2 linked regions of the Tribolium castaneum genome follow. The main gene of each other region encodes a partner of the protein of the gene in region 2 in a complex. Links are inferred from orthologs where the notes say so. Each region holds a gene or a part of one and is shown on either strand. Other genes may lie near its edges.

Region 1 (9,243 bases), on a different chromosome or scaffold from region 2:
TGGAGTAAAATTGAAAATCAACTGCTGTAGAAAGTCTTGCAATGTTTGTATTGTGGAAAACAGACAATAACAGAATGAGTGAATACAATAACAATAACAGTGAAACACAGGCAGCAAACGTGTGGACTATATACATAAGTTATTTTTCGAAGAATTTTTTGTTTTTATATTTTTTTAGATTGTTTAAGCCCGATAAACATTCCAACTAACTTAAAAAGTGGGCGTGAATATTTATTTCCAATGATTTAAGTTTTTTATTTATAATATACGTTTGTAATACAATATAAAATAATGCTCCTAACACACTCGTTTTTCTCATTTTTGTTTAGGTACAAGTTTCCAGAATTGCAGTTTTCGTATATATCGTATATTAATAACAAAATAATAAATACTTATCAAATAAAATTTTAACTATTTACAATTTATCCCTTAAAAATATTAAATTCGTTAAAATATTTGCAAATTTTTGTATACATGACGAATCCAACACATCCTAAGATTTCAGTCCATTGGATCACAAAGTTTTACACTCAACTATGCTAGAATTTTGTTTCTAATCAGTCGGACATAAGCAACAAAACCAAAAGAAGCACAAGAAATACACTGAACATAAAATGTCACACGCATGTTATTGTTCCACATGAGAATGATGTTTAGATGTGGTTACATGAATCACCTAATGACCAAAATGCTGTACAAGACAGTTGGCACTATCTAAATATAACAAGATTTAGGCCGAACTTCCTAACAAGAAAAATCGGGGGGAATAATGGCATGACTGCAATATTTTCGCTCGCAGAAAAGCCGCTTCCACCCGTGATAAAATAAAACTAAACGAATTTCACTTTTGAGTATTTATTAATAACAAAATGAGAGGTCGTACAAAATAATTTAATTAACAAAATAGAGTAACAGTATTGCAATCAGCCATTACATTATATAAACATAAAAAATCTAAAACATTTTTTTCTAAATTAAAAAAAGTTTTCTACTATATACATTAGGCTGATTTTAACACATGATAGTTAACGTTTGTCGCAATTACTACGATGAACTCTTGTTGATATACTTAGATTCGGCCAACCTATGTATGGACGCATCGCCATCACCCAGTTGTGTCACCTGCAAAGCACCAAATAACCATATAATGACCTTGCTAGGTCCAACATTCACACGTAAGCCGGTCACGTTAGTAGTGGACAGAGTTAGTCATGACCATGCAATGAGCGTCACAAAAACAAACAGAAAATGAAAACACATGCACAAACTACACAAGTCACGTCAAAAAAAGAATCTCCTTCATTGTCGACTTATTTATTGAATTAATAAATAAAAGAGTGTGTTAAGACTATAAAAAGTGCTTAAAATTACAAGATAAACTACATAGATACAATTCAACAAAGTAATATCTACCAGAAAAATAACAAAAACACGGTACAATCCTAAGTATAAATCGATAAAAAAATTGCACTCTTATAAATTATTTACAAATTTCTCTAAACCCTTCATATATCACGTCATCTTAACTAGCACGAGGTCCGAAATCGTGTCTCTAAATCGCACACATCACTCCGGGGGCGGTGGGGGCGGTATGTCCGGCGGCGCGTCCATCGGCAGGGGCGGGTTGGACCCTGCCGGGGGCGGCAGCGGCGGCGCCTGCTGATACATTTCCGGCGGCGGAAACGCGTATCCCCCATTATAATAATTGTACATCTGATTCTCGGCCGGATACATATACTGACCCACCCCCATATGCGGCGGATAATAGTACATGTTTTGCGTGTACATCGGCGGCGGCACGCTGTGATAGGTGGACGCGGGGGCGGCGGGGGGCGGAACGACCGCCCCCATCGCACTACTCTTACTATATTCGCTTACCTTATTATACGAATGTCTCCCGTTCTGTTTGGAGTCCTTGCTGCGGGAGAGCTTTGCAGGGGGGCCGCCGTCGGCCGGACTACTGCGATCCCGCTCCCGTTTCCGGCTTTTCTCGCTTTCCGGATTGCAGTTATTGATGATTTCGCGCGGGATCTTGATTTTGAGACCGATTGGTGGCGGCGCCGGCGCTGGATTCTCCTCAGTCTTTATCACGTCTTTCGGGATTTTTATCTTGATAGGGTTCGGCATTTGCTGGATCTTGTCTTTCTGGATCTTGATTTTGATTGGTTCGGCCGCCGGCTCGGCCACCTTCTCTTTGTGCTTGTGCTTCTCCCTGTCTTTATCTTTGTGTTTCTTCTTCTTCTCTTTCTCGTCTTTGCTCTTGTCCTTGTCTTTATGCTTGTGTTTCTCCTTGTTTTTCTTTTTACTCTTGTGGTGATGTTCTTTGACTTCGGCGGGTGGTTCGGTTTTCGGGGCTGTATTCGCGACCACTGGCAGATGAGGTACTGATGGTGCTTCTTTTAGTAAACTACTGATGAGCATCGGGTTTGTTTCGATGCCGTTAACGATCGGTTGAGAGGTCGATATGTTGTTATCAGAACACAAAGGTGGAATAATATCGGGGGGTTTCATTTCTTTGGAAAAACTAATCGGGGGTTCTTCACGTTTCACGTCCGTTATCGGAGTTATGATATCGGGAATTTGGTGAAGTTTATTGATTCCAATGGTGGAATCCCTCATCAAATTCTCAAAACCTTCAACTTGGTCTATTTTCTTTAAAACCGGCCGCAATTCCGGCTCAGAGCTAGTCGAATAATTCCTCGCTCTTTTACTAACATTTGTTGGTGATTCAAGAGGCGAAAGCATCGGTTCCGACTTTACTGGCAGAGGACTCGGCGATTTTTTCTCCGATTTGATTGGACTTTTTTCAGGCGAGAAAAGACTAGGTTTCTTGACGGGATTCAATTCCTCTTTCACCTTCTCTTCTTCCTTGACCACCTCCTCCTTAACGGGGACGCTAAAGGGTAGTAATAAGCGTTCAGTTATCAATTCGATTTAGTTTAATATAAAATGATAAATGGTCATCATTTTTGCACAGTAAAGTGAATAAAACACAAAAAGCAAGAAAATAACATCCCTAGATGACCGTAATCAAGCAAAAATTTGGGCCCAAAAAACAACAAAATGGAGAAATGAAGTAATCTGCATATTATTTTAGTAAGATCATATTTCAAAAATAGAGGAGATGGTATAACAATATTATCTTTTCAACGCCAGCCACTTTATTTACGTAATCCTTGCACAAAACAACATTGCACTATCGTTTGATTGAGAATGCCATTACAATTTTAATAAATTGTAGAAAACTTCTGAAAAAAGTCACATTCCTAGATAAAAAATATAGTATTATTTAAAGATAAACGCTGGTTTTTGTAAAATTTATTAATACATATTTGAGATACGATTGTACAATCACCATGTTTATTAACTTTGTTTCAAAATTTAAAAAAAAACAAATATTTTTTTGAAGATTGTATTTAAATTAAAATGAAATTAAACAAAAAATAAATGTAATTTTCTACTTAAAAAACAGACTGAAAATTGGCGGTTTTAATAAAAAAAAATGTATGTATAGAAACCCTTTCTGTATTTTGAGTGTTATAAAATTTTCTACAGTTCCAATAAAAAAAAATTGAAAATATATTGATACTTTGAAACTAAAATCTTTATGTATTTTGAATCTTTTTTTTTAACTTTTGTAAACTTCTATTACTTCTCTGTACATCCACTGTTTCAACTGATCAAAAATTCAATACCATACCTGACGCTGAAACTGCTGCTCCCGTTGTGGTGGTGCTGTTTGACCGGCGGCGGCTGCAACGGCTGCCCCACCCCCGGTTTGAGGACGGATTTCGATGTGTCTAAAGGCGATTTGACTTTTTGCGAGGTAGAGTTCATCGATTTACTTAAATAACCACTATTCCTATCATGTCCCGGCACACTATGCGGTCTTTTCACTTCACTTTCCGGCTTAACAAACGGCTTTTCGTCGTGCCTTCGAACCTGTTCATGTTTAACTGGAACTTTATTCGGAGGCGGCCGATTCTTATCACCGTTATAATAATTGTTCGTTTCCGCCGCCGCCGCCGCCGCCACATTCGGTTTTAGTAAATAATCGCGCGTTTTCGGAACGTCTTTTTCATTTTTGTTAAAGTCTTTGGTTGCTATCCCGAACGGGGAGTCCCTGGCGGCCTCTCGGAGGATGTCTCGGGGCTCGGTCCGGGCTGGGGGCGGGTGCGACGAAGACGGCCTCGAGTGCGGCTGCTTCAGCTTCGGGTCCACGGGGGGACGGTGGTGGCCGTGGGGCACCGCCGGCTTGGCGGCCCCCGGGGGCGGCGCTTTCATGCCGTGCTGTTGCTGGGCCAGTTTTTCCCGTTCTTTCTTCTCGCGATATTCGCGCTCGCGCTGCTGCTGGCTGGTGGTTGCCGACTCGTGAGGTCTGGAAGATCGGTGCTTGTGGGGGTCCGGTTCTGAACCTTTAAGAAAAAATTCACGTTGAAACGATCTTAAAACATGTGTTTAGGAACACAAATAACACTTATTTTTTTGTTCGTGAACATAATTTTAATTTAAAAAAATGAAAATTGGTTGTAATTTCTTACCTGTCTTACTCTCGTGTGTGCGATGCGGATGTTGGTCTTTCTGGTCCGAACTGACGATCTTTTTCGGATCAGTGTCCTGCAATAGGTCGGGTGCAATCAAAAGAACTCCGACCACAGGAAAATACTTACGAAAGGTGAATTGGTGATAGCGGCTGTGCAATTATGCATTCCGTTATCACCGATACTCATAATTTTCTCTTTGAGTCGTGACGGACAACTTTCAAAGATACTCAGAAACTCGGTGGTGAGTTGTTGGAGTAGTTCGGCGGTGACCGTTGGATCCACGTACAGAAACCACTCTTTCTTTTCGGTGGACAACGGTATTTCCCAACTCGACCATTTACACGCTAAATGTATGCAAAAGCAAGCTACTACAGTCGGTTTGTATTGGAGGCACATTGTGGTAAGATGCAAGCTAGAAAATTGCCAAAAATCATAATGGTGGGATCGATTTTTCGAAAAATCCCCACCTGTTGCTGGCCAAGAAATACGAACTCTGTGCTAAGTCCTTACTGGCACGAACGAGATGACAACATCTTACGACGTGGGTGTGTGGATGGTCGATTGCGACATCGAAACCCAACGTTTGGAGTAAGACTGTTTCGTTAAATACCAAGTCCTGAGACAGAGTTTGATACCTAAAAGTGGCAATTAATCAGAATTGTTTTTTGATTTGGGAAAAGTACTACCTTTCCGAATTTACATCGATATTTGTATCTCGGTTATTTCTGCACATGTTGGCAACTCTAATAACGTATTCTAATTTTCTAGGTTGTTCTTCTACTTTGGCGGCTAGAAACAATGCCGCCGCCGCCATCTGGTGCCAGGGGAATTGTGTGAAGGAGTGGAATACATAGAACCGATGCATGTACACGATGGCGGTGTTGATACATAATTGAGAACTGCTTTGGGTTAAGGAAATGGTCCAGAATAAATAATTCAAGGTTTTTGAATTCAATTAGAATAATGTAATTTAATGTTCAATAAATTCTACTCCATTTGTTCTCTTTTAAACGAAGCAGAGTGTACAGTGAATTTTCCCGAATGCCAAGTGATTATTATCAAAGGTTCAACTGAAACAGTATTGTATTTTTTTGTATGCATTTTTATTGGCAATTTTTTGTGTAAGTGAGAGGTTACTAGTGCTTTTGGCCTTTGGTTAAAATCATACCACGTAATTAACATTTTCGAAAATTAATAGGATACGAAATATCTACAGGAACTGAAAATCAAGAAATATTGGGAGAATTGTACACGTGAAGTAGGTAACTAATTATAGGTAAGTTATTTCTGTTTCTTAGTCCAAGCAATTGGATCACAGAGAAATTGCTAATAAAAATGCTAATAATACGCTCAAAAACAGCTAAAAGGCCACTTTGAGATTTGTAAGTCCGATTTTTTCAAGATTCCCACAATAAAAATTTAAACAGGTTTAAAATTCGCAATACTTTGCAAAAAATATAAACCCATATAAGACCAAATTAAGCTTTTTGGTGTTGAACAGTTGATCAATGCTTATCTCAAACCCCGTATTGCCAATCATTCCATAGTTAAACAATGAAATTTAGAAAAAATCCATGACGCAAAAATGTTTATATTCATCATCTGATAAAATAATTATCCGCGTAGCTTATCAGATAATTTCCCTGTATCGTTAAATCCTATTTCCAATTATTCGTACACTCAAATTCAAAATAAAACACTTAAATTCTTTATTACTTATTTATTTCCCTTGCCCCAAAACCAAAAATAATAAGTAGACTTTGGTAACTAAAATTTCCCCCAAAAATTATTTTTCTTTATAAATTTTCACGACCTTAGGCTCGTTTTTAAATATGTCCGAGCACGTAGCTAATTCTTAAAATAACCGCGGCTATTATTACGTACACCATTAAGTTTAGTGCATCATAAAAATTCGAAGTAAATAAATATTTACTTTATAATCATGTAGTGCTTATCAATAGCACAAATGTAATTTAAATTTGTAGCCACATTACTCGTCGACCCAGTTCGTTTCAGTAGACATTCAGGCAATGTCAGCAGTGGTCGGTTTTATTTTGATTAATCATAGTGTAAGGTTTATGTGGTAATATGAAAGAATTTGTGCGATTGTGTAATAAAAAACACTGATGTTGATTTTATTTTAAGTTAAATTTCTGACTTAGAAATAGAAAAAAACGTTCAAACGTCCACTGACATGAAATGCTCTAAAATTTTTAAAAAGTAAATAAAAATCAATTTATTATTAAAAATCCATAAGAGCATAAGATAGTGCGTTTGTATGAACATAATAAAAAAAACTTAACACAACCATACTCAAAACAAGTTGAAACAAAAAGGAAAAGTTTCAAGATCAAATCAATTGAAAATAAAGTTGCAAGAAATATAAACATCTTTTAATAAGAAATTGATTTTATTTTTTACTCTTGTGAAAGATTACAATTATTTTACATCATACAAATCGCAAATGAAATTGTTGCATAAGAATGACAAAACTACTACAAAAATTGAAAAATTGCTTCAAAGAGAAAATAAAAAAATGAATAAAACCGCTGACCTACAACAAACGTAGAGAAGAGTTAAATAATAAATTTTCTGGAAAAGAATACGTTGAAATAATCCTGAAAAGCATAAAAATAACGGTGCGTTTAACACACGTGTCGTGTGAACGCCGCTTTATCGCATTTGCATGAAACGTCAAATATGCGCAGTAGAGGGGGCTATCTACGTCACTTACGAAACATGGCGCAATAGCTCCACAATGACCTAAAACAAGGGTCGTGGGGCGCCAGGGGGCTGAAATTCGCGCTATCTACGTGTTAAATGCAAGCATGCGGCAAGGATACACTTTGAGCCTCTGTCCCATGTCCTGGATGAAATTGGCAGTCTGCTGCCTGTAGGACAGCTCCTTGTAGCTATCATATCCGCATTTCCTCGAGGGCGTAGCGTCCAATTGCTCTTTCGTGAAGTACCATCTATCGCTGTTATTAGCCATTTACTGCACTCGACACGACTCGCGATAACAGCAAGGCAAGTGTCGCTACGGCTCGAAATCAGGCTATTCCAGGTCATTTGCTGGTCTTATTGGGGCAAATGGGGGCGCATTGTCGCGAAATTTAGTCACATTAACTACACTTTTGTCCAGAAAATCGGCTTCAAGGGTTTCCGTTGCGTCACTACGATGTGGGTTTTCCTAGAAGTGGCACTGGTGCAAATCGGGTCGGCTTTTCACGGGCAAATCTCCGGTTGCAAGTCTCGAATTGATCACGAATTATTACTTAAAGTTTACTAAACGCTTTTGGAAAGTTTTTCGCGCGAAAGAGGTAGTTCTTTAACAAATTAAAATATACATACACAAAGTTGTTGGAATTTGATGTTATTTCACTCAGAGATGGCCGACCAACCGCGGTAAGCAAGCCCACGACTTCCACAAAACAAACACCAAAACCACCCACACACTCGAAAACCGCAACACTCCCGAAAAAACGCAAATTATCCCTAAACTAATCCCTGAAATTATCACAGAAATCCACTAAGGCCCTTAGATCCACAAACGCACAACAAGCATGGCTTTGAGTAAAGATGTCGGCTGTCGATTTCCGCTCGGCTGCTCATTGGCTGCCACCGTTCGAAATATACCGCCAAACAAACATAACCTTGTCAATAACAAAGCCAGACGCGCAAAACTAAACTTTCACTATTTTCAGGATGCAGTTTCCGGAAAAACAACTCAAAACCAACCATGCCCCTTCAACGACTGCAGAAAAAGACGTCGCCGCCCTCAAAGCCGAGCTAGAAATCGAGCTCAAGAACAAAAAGCAATGCACATACAAACCGTACGAATGCACCCAACTCACCCTCGACGGGTTCAATTACTGCCTCAAACACATCCTCCAAGACAAGGCAGCCCCCTACAGACAGTGCTCGTACATTTACGCCAGTAACGGGAAACGCTGCCAGCTGGCAGCCCCCAAAATCGAAAAGAAAGACTGCGGCTACTGTAACGATCACGCAGTTAAAGTCACACTTGAGAAAAACAGGCAGAACTCGAGGCTTCAGCCGCCACAAACCGCAGAAGTCCTGATATATTCGTTGGGACATTACTTGAAGAAGCCCAGAAATCGGGCAACTTCTGGTAGTGGAGAGGAGGCAGAGAGGGCCCTTCTGGAGGAGGCTGAAGCCAAGAGCACCAAGTGCTTGGACCCGTTCCGTAAGCCACCCTTTTTTTCAAATTAATTTTCCAAATACAAATTAATGTGTTAGGTGATATTGACGCCAATGCCTTGTATAACTCCACTTGTAACAACGTTTTGGACTTCTGTAGTGAGTCTGATAGCGATGTTGAGGCTTCAACGTTCGCGTCAGTGTGGCATGATGCACAGAATGACAGTTCCGATAACGAAAGTGTTGATTCAGACCAGGAGGACGTTTTAAAGTGAGGTGGCAATTTTTTATTTTTGAGACTAATTTTTGTATTTGAAGGCACGCGAATGTGTACACAGCTGAAGAAATCAGTTCAATTACGAGAGAAAAGTTAATCAAGCTTCAGTCGTTATACATTGAGCAATATCGTCATTTGCAGCATGTCTTTAAGGAATGCAAAAGAAAATATGTTTATAATTTAAGGAGGGAAAAGGAAACTTGCTGTGAGATTACATCACAATAATTACGTCCAGTTCATTTGAATTCGTTTCGTTTTTTA
Region 2 (8,800 bases):
TATCTGAGGGAGCAAAAAATGGCACAAAAAATTTTCTAGGGAGCAAAAAATGACACAAAAAATATTTGGGGGAGCAAAAAATGGTACAAAAAAAATTTTTTTTGAAACAAAATTAGTGAAAATATACATAAAATTTCAAAAGTTTAAAATTTACGAATTATTTTTTGTTGAATTTTTTGTGGAAATATTTAGGTCACAAAAAAAGGCACAAAAAATAACTTGCGGGAGCAAAAAATAGCACAAAAAATAGCATGCGGGAGCAAAAAATCGCACAAAAAATATCTGAAGGAGCAAAAAATGACACAAAAAATATCTAAGGGAGCAAAAAATGGCACAAAAAATTTCCAAGGGAGCAAAAAATGTCACAAAAAATTTCCGAGGGAGCAAAAAATGGCATAAAAAATATTTGGGGGAGCAAAAAATGGCACAAAAAATTTCCGAGGGAGCAAAAAATGGCACAAAAAATTTCCGAGGGAGCAAAAAATGGCACAAAAAAATTTCGAGGGAGCAAAAAATGGCACAAAAAATATTTGGGGGAGAAAAAAATGGCACAAAAAATATCTGGGGGAGCAAAAAATGGCACAAAAAATTTCCAAGAGAGCAAAAAATGGCACAAAAAATATCTGGGGGAGCAAAAAATGGTACAAAAAAAATTTTTTTTGAAACAAAATTAGAGAAAATTTACATAAAATTTCAAAAGTTTAAAATTTACGAATTATTTTTTGTTGAATTTTTTGTGGAAATATTTAGGTCACAAAAAAAGGCACAAAAAATAACTTGCGGGAGCAAAAAATAGCACAAAAAATAGCATGCGGGAGCAAAAAATCGCACAAAAAATATCTGAAGGAGCAAAAAATGGCACAAAAAATATCTAAGGGAGCAAAAAATGGCACAAAAAATTTCCAAGGGAGCAAAAAATGGCACAAAAAATTTCCGAGGGAGCAAAAAATGGCATAAAAAATATTTGGGGGAGCAAAAAATGGCACAAAAAATTTCCGAGGGAGCAAAAAATGGCACAAAAAATTTCCGAGGGAGCAAAAAATGGCACAAAAAAAATTCGAGGGAGCAAAAAATGGCACAAGAAATATTTGGGGGAGCAAAAAAATGGCACAAAAAATATCTGGGGGAGCAAAAAATGGCACAAAAAATTTCCAAGGGAGCAAAAAATGGCACAAAAAATTACCGAGGGAGCAAAAAATGGCATAAAAAATATTTGGGGGAGCAAAAAATGGCACAAAAAATTTCCGAGGGAGCAAAAAATGGCACAAAAAATATCTGGGGGAGCAAAAAATGGCACAAAAAATATATGGGGGAGCAAAAAATGGCACAAAAATTAGCTTGTGGGGACAAAAAATGTTTGCGGGTGTTTAATAAATAATCGTACACAATTTTAGTAAATGTTTATTTTCCTGAATTCACGTCTTTCGCATTTCGCGTCTTCTGTATTTTCTGTCTCGTCATTTCCCCTACGCACCAAAATCCATAAACTTGGAACGTAGTATCTACAGCTGTTCTGAAATAATGTCATCGCGGACCCTCTGTCCCTAAAATGAGTGATGATGAAGCCGAAACGTCCGATTCGTCGAGATACACTCACGAGCAGAAGATCGTAGCTGCAGTTTGGGTCCACGAGAAGGAGTACAATAACCAAACATGGAAAGATATTAACTCCAATTTCTTGGCGAGATTCAACACTGCACCTCCCAACAGGACGACGTTCTTGAGCTGGGAGAGGAAATTATTCAGTGTGGGAAACGTTGAGGATCGGGAAAAATGTGGAAGACCACTGTCAAGGCTTATGCACGTGCCGTACGTGAGAGCGTCCTTGAAAGAGGCTCCGGATTTATCGCTGAGGGAAAGGTCGAAGTTGTTGGGATTGCCCAGAACAACACTCTTGAAAATTATCAGAGATGACCTCAATATGGAGTTTGAGGTGGAGGAGGACGGAACCTCCAACTTGAAGAGGAGGCATGCGCCCTATGGTGGAGGGAAGTGGAAGAAGAAGGCCACCGCGGAGGCGCAGGGCACGTGCAAGGGGGAGGAAGCGGCCTCACGGCAACAAAATGAGAATTGTGATTAAAGATTTTGTATTTTTTTTTGTTTTGTAAATAGAGTAATAATAAATGTTATATTTAAATCATTTTCAGTGCAATGGGATAATTACGGACAGTTAGGTTTGTACGGAAGAAATTTGTATGCTGTAATAATATATTTGAAAAAAAAGTTGGGTCCTTTTGTTACACATCACCTCAAAAGTATAACTGATGTTAAATTTTTATGTATAAATATGTACAAGGTACTGATGTATTCATTTTATTTATGATCTAGACAAGGTCACTTTAAGTTTACTTTGGAGTTCTATGAGTTCATATTTCTATTGCAACTGTAACAGACCAAGTTTGGTTACATGAAACAATAAAAAACGAAAATAAATATAAAATAAATTAATATATTTCAAACAAAAAAAAAGAGAAAAAAACAATCATTCTGTCAGTCGATATGTCCAGATTGTGATAACATGGTCAAAATGCAGAGGCCAAATTTCGTTAAAAGAATAAATAACTAATTTACATAAAAACCAATTTCACTAAAACAGCAACATTTAAACGCAAATAAAAAACAAAAAATCAACTGAATGGAAGGCAAAAATTGAGATTTACGAATTAATATCAAAAATTGTGATCTATGCCAATCGTATACACATTCAGAGATTTTTCTTCCATTGGTCCCAAACAGCCAAATTTACCATTTCTGACCATAATGATACGGCAAAACAATTAAGAGAAGATAAATAATTAAAAAAGAAACAACCTTTTCTGCATAACCTGCCGCCAAGGACATCTGATTGAATAAATCTCCGCGTTTTGTTTCAAATTTCGACCTTTGATTCGAGAGATCATCAGAAAAGATTGCAATAAATATAGCACCACATAAATCAACAATGTGCAAAGGGAGTTTCAAGTTTGTAACCAAACTTTGTTCTGCACATTTAAGTAAATTTTCACTACAATTCAGTATCGTAAAACGTGTTAAAGTTTTGAGATCAACCTTCAGCTTTGATAAAACTGGATGAGTAGGAGTTTGAGGAAAAAAAGTCACGTCATAGTGAAACTTTACTTAGTGATGAGTGCTAATACGTCGATCACTCTGGAAGAAAACTAAGCTTTAAGATTTTCTGCCAGCATTGATAAATAATGCAACAACAATTATAGGTACAAAATTATACATATCAATTTGATTTTGTTTTGTAAATGGCCTTAATGAAAATACTTACGATACAAATAAAATAATTTAAAATTTATAAAATATGATACAAGATTTACATACATGTTACATATGCACACTTAGCCTACAATATATATGCAAAAATAACAATGACTAATATTTATTAATTTAACATCCACAACCACGTGAGATGCAAAGTTTGATTCACTAGGCCTCTAGATTAGCGTTGTACAAATATAGCAGATGTAGTAAATATATAACTTTAGCATACAGTATTTACAAAAAAATATACACTATGTACGTGGAATTTCCTATCATTGTAAAAATATTATTATAGTACTGCACCCTAAGTCAGTTAACTAGAAACGACATCAAAAGTCATATAATATGTAGGATCACTCAATTGTTCTAGTCAACATTAAACCAATCTAACCGGCAAATATGCCCTAAGTAAATGATTAAATAAGTCAACTCTACTCTAATATAATCTGTAGGTAAAATGTAAAAAGTGTATATTCTGTCCAAGTAACAAGCTGGTTCCATTGACATTGAAATTGACTCAGTGCTTCTTTGGCATACATTTATCTTATTTACAAACGTCATTGGTCAATTCTAACTCTCATTCAACCTTTTTATCCCTTCGCGAATGTACCTCACCAGGTCTATCAGCGAGCTGTGCATCGTCAGAGGCTTGCACAGCCTATCCAAGTCGATAAAGAAATCTGGAACGACAACACAACATGTACCCCACCTTCACCCAGCCAGGGTCGGATTATTGTTTGCAGGGCCCACATAAACCACCAACATAATCCGGGCCCCCTTGCCTCAACAATCCGACACTGCCCCCAACTCCCCGAGCCACCCACCTGTGTGTTTGCCCTTGATGACGAGCGCATCGGCCGTATCCCACAGATCCTGACAAGACAGAAGATATGTGAAATTCTGGTTCTGCTTGTACATGGCGTTGTAAATATTTTGAGGAATCCACACGTGAGCGCCCCCACTTTGTGCGTGCGTTGATGGAACAGGTGGCGGCACGTTGCTGCCCCTCGCCGCCAACTCACCACTGCTATAGCCGGACGACTGGCTGCCCACCGAACCCACAGAACCGGCAGGAGACGGCGTCGGTGACATGGGCGACGGTGTACCCTGGCCTTGCTGGGTCTGCTGCTCTGGGGGGATCGCAACGGCCTGAAACCACATTCCCACCCATTCATTTTTCCCCCTTTTGCATCATTTTCGTTGCGGAAAATTCAATGACAGCCAAATGTCAAATTTCGATTAGAGATGGGCACGTAACGTCGAAGATTTGGAACATTTAAATTTATTTTCTTTGCGTTTTTGCTCCAAAAACACCGGCACATGCGACGATTCAATATAATCTTTAAATGTGGTCATAAGATTGTTTTTTTATTGTTTAAATTGCGTAATTGTCAATTACTTTCCCACCTCTATTGAAAAGAGAGGGCACGTTTGGTGCCGATTTTTAAATGTTTTATTTGGGGCTTTGGAGGTCTTTTTGGCTAAAATAAACGTGCCTATTCTGTGGAGTTTTGATTCAATTTTCGTTTTTAATTGGCGTTTTGTTTCCGCAAGATTGTTAATTACTGACCTTGTTGTTGAAATATTCGCTGAGGACCTTCTGGTAGTCCTTCGCTTCGTGCTTCTTCATCTTGAATAGTTTATAATAAAGAAGCGCTTGGCACCGATAACTGCAAAAATCGTCAGTCAATACCGTAATTGGTAGGTGTGTTTATTTGAAATTACCTTAACACAGCGAGCTTGTTGTGCTTCGAAGACGCGTTATGTTGACTTCGAAATTTCGAAGTGATGTACCTAAAATGGTTACATGAGTCACCGCTTTCTCGTTAAATTATTAACGTAGTTACCTTATTAACGATAATGTGTCTTTATACATTGTGAAACAGGCGTTTTCTGTAACCCTTGTGAGTTCCATGGCGTTGCCCGTTAGTAAGAAGAAAAGTACAGCCTCCAGGTACAGCATACACTGTTTTGTTGTATCAGTCTCTTTATCAGCTAAGTGCTTCAAACGAGTCGCATCGCTCAGGTACTGACTTTGAGCTCTGCAAATCACATACGAACTGATATACGACAAACATTAATAGGTTTCACAGAAAAAAGCCACAAAAACTACAACGCAAACTAAACTAAACTAACCAACGGCCCAGTCGATCATTACACAATCAAGCCTATCACAGTTAAAAAATTAGCGAAAGACGCTATTACGAAGTGCGATTATATTCATTTTATTACACATTATCTAACAGTCTAGGCGATATATCTCCGTTCTGGAAACTCAATATTTTTCCTATATGTAAATGTAGTCTCAACAAATAAATCGAATAATAAAAACTAAACAAAATCCATTTCCTTACCTGTCGTAGCACTTTCGAAGTCGTGCTAGAATGTAATAGCTTTCTGTAGCTTAATATTCTATTCTAATTCTAATACGACAAAATGATTTTGTCCCTTTGTTATGGAAAGTTTTTTGTACCACTTTCTAAAAATTAAATTTTGGTAGTATCACATTTTTCACGAAATGTGAAGTGTTTCAATAAATTTCGCACTGATAACCGTTTTATCGTGAAAAATATCCTCGTAGTTTTGAATTTTTATTGGTGTAATATTTTTAGCAACTATGATAGTTGATTTGATGCCTTTTTAGCCCTTAAAAACCGACAATAATAAAACTTGATCAAGTTGTAAAAAGAGTTTCAATTATGCAATAAATGACAATCATTTTAATTAATATGAATGATTATGACAGGATATTTACGATCTTCTTAAATAAAAACCGGCCGCAAATTTATTAATTGCTAATTGCGCCTTTTAGTCATTAAATGTGAAATCACTTCAATTTCTAATCGGCGACTCTGCTTCGATTTTTTGTGCTGTGGTAGGAACGAACCTTATTTATGTCATTTGCACAATCTCCATTCCGCACAATTTAAATAAATCTTTTTTCGATGGCGAATTACATTGTCACCTCACCCTGTCGTAAATTAGATACGGCAAATAAACCAAATATAGAAATAGAAAACGATAAAGATCATTTCAGGACAGAATAAGACGTCATTTTTTCCTCTCGATACGTTCTTTACGACAGCTGAATACTGCCAGCGCTCACCGGAAAATATTGAATCAGATATATTCCTCGGAGGCCAAGTTGACCTAAATTCGAGCATCGCGGAATTTTAATCGTTGATCGACTGAACCGCCCAAATTCGTGCATTTTTTCCTTACCTCTCTTCGCACTCTAGGGGCTCGTCGGGCTTCTCAAAGTACGAATGATACTCCCTGGTACTTTGCGACTTGTTTTTGTCGACGGGCGAGATCACCTGCCGACTTCTGCTACCTTCCCGCTCGTGATTGGTCGGTGGTGCATTCGTCAGACTGATATTATCACTTTGTGATCTGGGATAGATTTCGTCGTCTTTTCGCCGTTTCATCTTGTGATTCTCCCGATCTTTGCGATGCTCCAGTTTCTTGCTACTGTGCGACAAGTTGCTGACCGTCGACAGCGACGAAATCGAGCTCGAACTGTTCCGCCGCTTTCGCTTCTTCGACTTGTGCTTCAATTCGGCCAAATCCGAATCCTTCTTCTTACTTTCGTTATCATTATCGCTCAGCTTCTTCTTCTCAAACTCCCGGAAGTAGGGATGTTTCAGCGCTTCGAGCTTGTTTTTGAGGCAAATCACAGCGTTCAAGTCGATGCGATTCAGACCGATTTTGACTTTCATCGAGATTTTCTCGTCATCGAGAGGCTCAGTCTTAATGAATTTGATTGGTTCGGCGCAAGGGGATGCTAGTGGAGGTTTGGCCTCCTTGTGGGGGATTGGTGATAGGAGAGTTGGGTTTGATATGGTCGGCATTGTTTCGTCTTCGACGGGCGAAACGCAGCGTTCGTTTCCGCCGTCGGCGAATATCACATTGACGCCCCCCTTGCCCTTGCCGCCTTTCCCGCCCTTGCCGCCGCCTTTGCCGCCCCCTTTGCCGCCCTCGGAGTCGCGCTTCGGAGTGAACAGCTTGCGTAGAGTGTCGCTCTTGTTTTTGTCTTTGATCGGTTTCGTCTCCTCGACTTTATTCACCGGGGATTTGGCTAGAATGTTCGTGTCGCTGTCCGAGGACCGGCTGCGACTCCTTGAACTCAGACTTCGTTGTAAGCGCTTGGAAGGGCCCGAATCGCTGTCGCTCGAATCGGTCGTTGTGGGAAGAGTTGCGGCGCTTTTGTGATGTGGGTTTGACGTTCTTCCTTTCCGCCGGAAGACCTCCTTCTTGGGGGAGTCGTTCTTCTTGGAGCTTTCCGACTCGCTCCTCTGTCTTGGTTTCAGTTTGTTCTTGTTCTTCTTGCCCCAATCGTCGTCCGAGTCGTTTTTGATGGCGGGCCTTTTGATTTTGTCCTCGAATGGTTTTGGGATTTTCTTTGGTGATTCGTACTTTCGGTACCGTGAGTCTGAGTCGGAGCTGCTCGAAGCGTCACGTTTCGAGATTGTTCTCCGTCGGACCGGCCTTTTGTCCACGTTGTCTTCTTCGTCGGAACTGCTCGGGTGTGAGGGTCGGGGTTTTGGTGGTCGTCCCCTTTTTCGCGGTTTCTTGTCGGATCCACTCACAGCCGGTTTGATTTTTCTGGGACGTCCGCGACTCTGTTTGGGTTTGACTAACTGTTCGGGCGATTTATGAGGCAAAGGTGATAGACGTTTTTTGATAATATTGGCACTGTTATTGTCCGAATCACTACACGAATCCACTGATTTAGTCCGAGGACTGGCACGTCGCACCGGTTTCGGTTTTTTCGTCCGTTCGGCATCGTCACTGTCACTTTCCGAATTTTTGGTAACTGATTGTATTATGGTATGTTTGCGTCTTTTCGTGCGTCTTTCCGTCACACTATCGTCCGAATCGGAGAAACTCGACAAGAGGGGCACCGTTGCCGAGGCCAGTGCCTCGGCAACCACACTGTCTAGATCTTTCGTCGAATCACTGGCGTCCGACTCTTCGGTAACTTTTTTCTTGTCGACGGCCAAAGGGAGCATGCTGGAGGTGAGCGGCGACGTTTGTACTTTCGGTGAGAGAACGGAGTCCGCTTTGGCGTTGTTCTGGTCGATGACCAAATACGAACCAAGGTTCCATCGCTTCTTGTCTTTTTCTTCGGGCGGAGGCGGCGAAGACGGTCCCGTTTCGGCAGGTACTACGTTTGATTTGCTCGGATTCGACGAAGTCACGTTGTCTTCGGCCGAATCGTCGCTGCTCGAGTCGCTCTCTGATCCCGAATCCGAGCCCGAATCGCTCGACGAAGACCCAGCCGGATCTGCCGGTTCCGGCGGATACTCCATCTTGGAGAAACTACCAACGGCCGGAGTCGCACCCAGCGGAGAAACCATCCTGCTCGAAACACACTTATGTTACTACAACACTCGACTATGACCTCAAACACTTACTTTTCTACTGGTAACTTGGAAGATTGCTTTTGATCGTCATCGCTGTCATCTGACAGATTTAGATCATCTCGTAAGTCACTGCAACAACAATACCCAATCAACACCTGTGCGCTAAG

The links.
Region 1: lilli (region 2) and CycT share a complex: the UniProt entries of both Drosophila melanogaster proteins name them as parts of the super elongation complex. The link is inferred for Tribolium castaneum from reciprocal best matches to the Drosophila melanogaster genes lilli and CycT.

What each region holds. Positions count from the first base shown.
Region 1 is NC_087396.1:19,990,382-19,999,624, forward strand, and holds the start of CycT (cyclin-T), read right to left. Parts: upstream 7,537-9,243; coding exon 7,388-7,536; intron 5,444-7,387; coding exon 5,231-5,443; intron 5,180-5,230; coding exon 5,012-5,179; intron 4,957-5,011; coding exon 4,671-4,956; intron 4,618-4,670; coding exon 4,542-4,617; intron 4,416-4,541; coding exon 3,701-4,415; intron 2,897-3,700; coding exon 1,567-2,896; 3' UTR 1,123-1,566; coding exon of another isoform or gene 1,045-1,122; 3' UTR 1-1,044. Other genes in the region: dgt1 (KAT8 regulatory NSL complex subunit 2), read left to right, coding at 7,915-7,949, 8,249-8,751, 8,805-8,976, 9,024-9,187. UniProt on the Drosophila melanogaster protein: Regulatory subunit of the cyclin-dependent kinase pair (CDK9/cyclin T) complex, also called positive transcription elongation factor B (P-TEFb), which is proposed to facilitate the transition from abortive to production elongation by phosphorylating the CTD (carboxy-terminal domain) of the large subunit of RNA polymerase II (RNAP II).
Region 2 is NC_087402.1:5,809,887-5,818,686, forward strand, and holds the end of lilli (AF4/FMR2 family member lilli), read right to left. Parts: intron 8,763-8,800; coding exon 8,685-8,762; intron 8,629-8,684; coding exon 6,490-8,628; intron 5,328-6,489; coding exon 5,115-5,327; intron 5,062-5,114; coding exon 4,993-5,061; intron 4,938-4,992; coding exon 4,838-4,937; intron 4,417-4,837; coding exon 4,092-4,416; intron 3,948-4,091; coding exon 3,838-3,947; 3' UTR 2,430-3,837; downstream 1-2,429. UniProt on the Drosophila melanogaster protein: Has a role in transcriptional regulation. Acts in parallel with the Ras/MAPK and the PI3K/PKB pathways in the control of cell identity and cellular growth.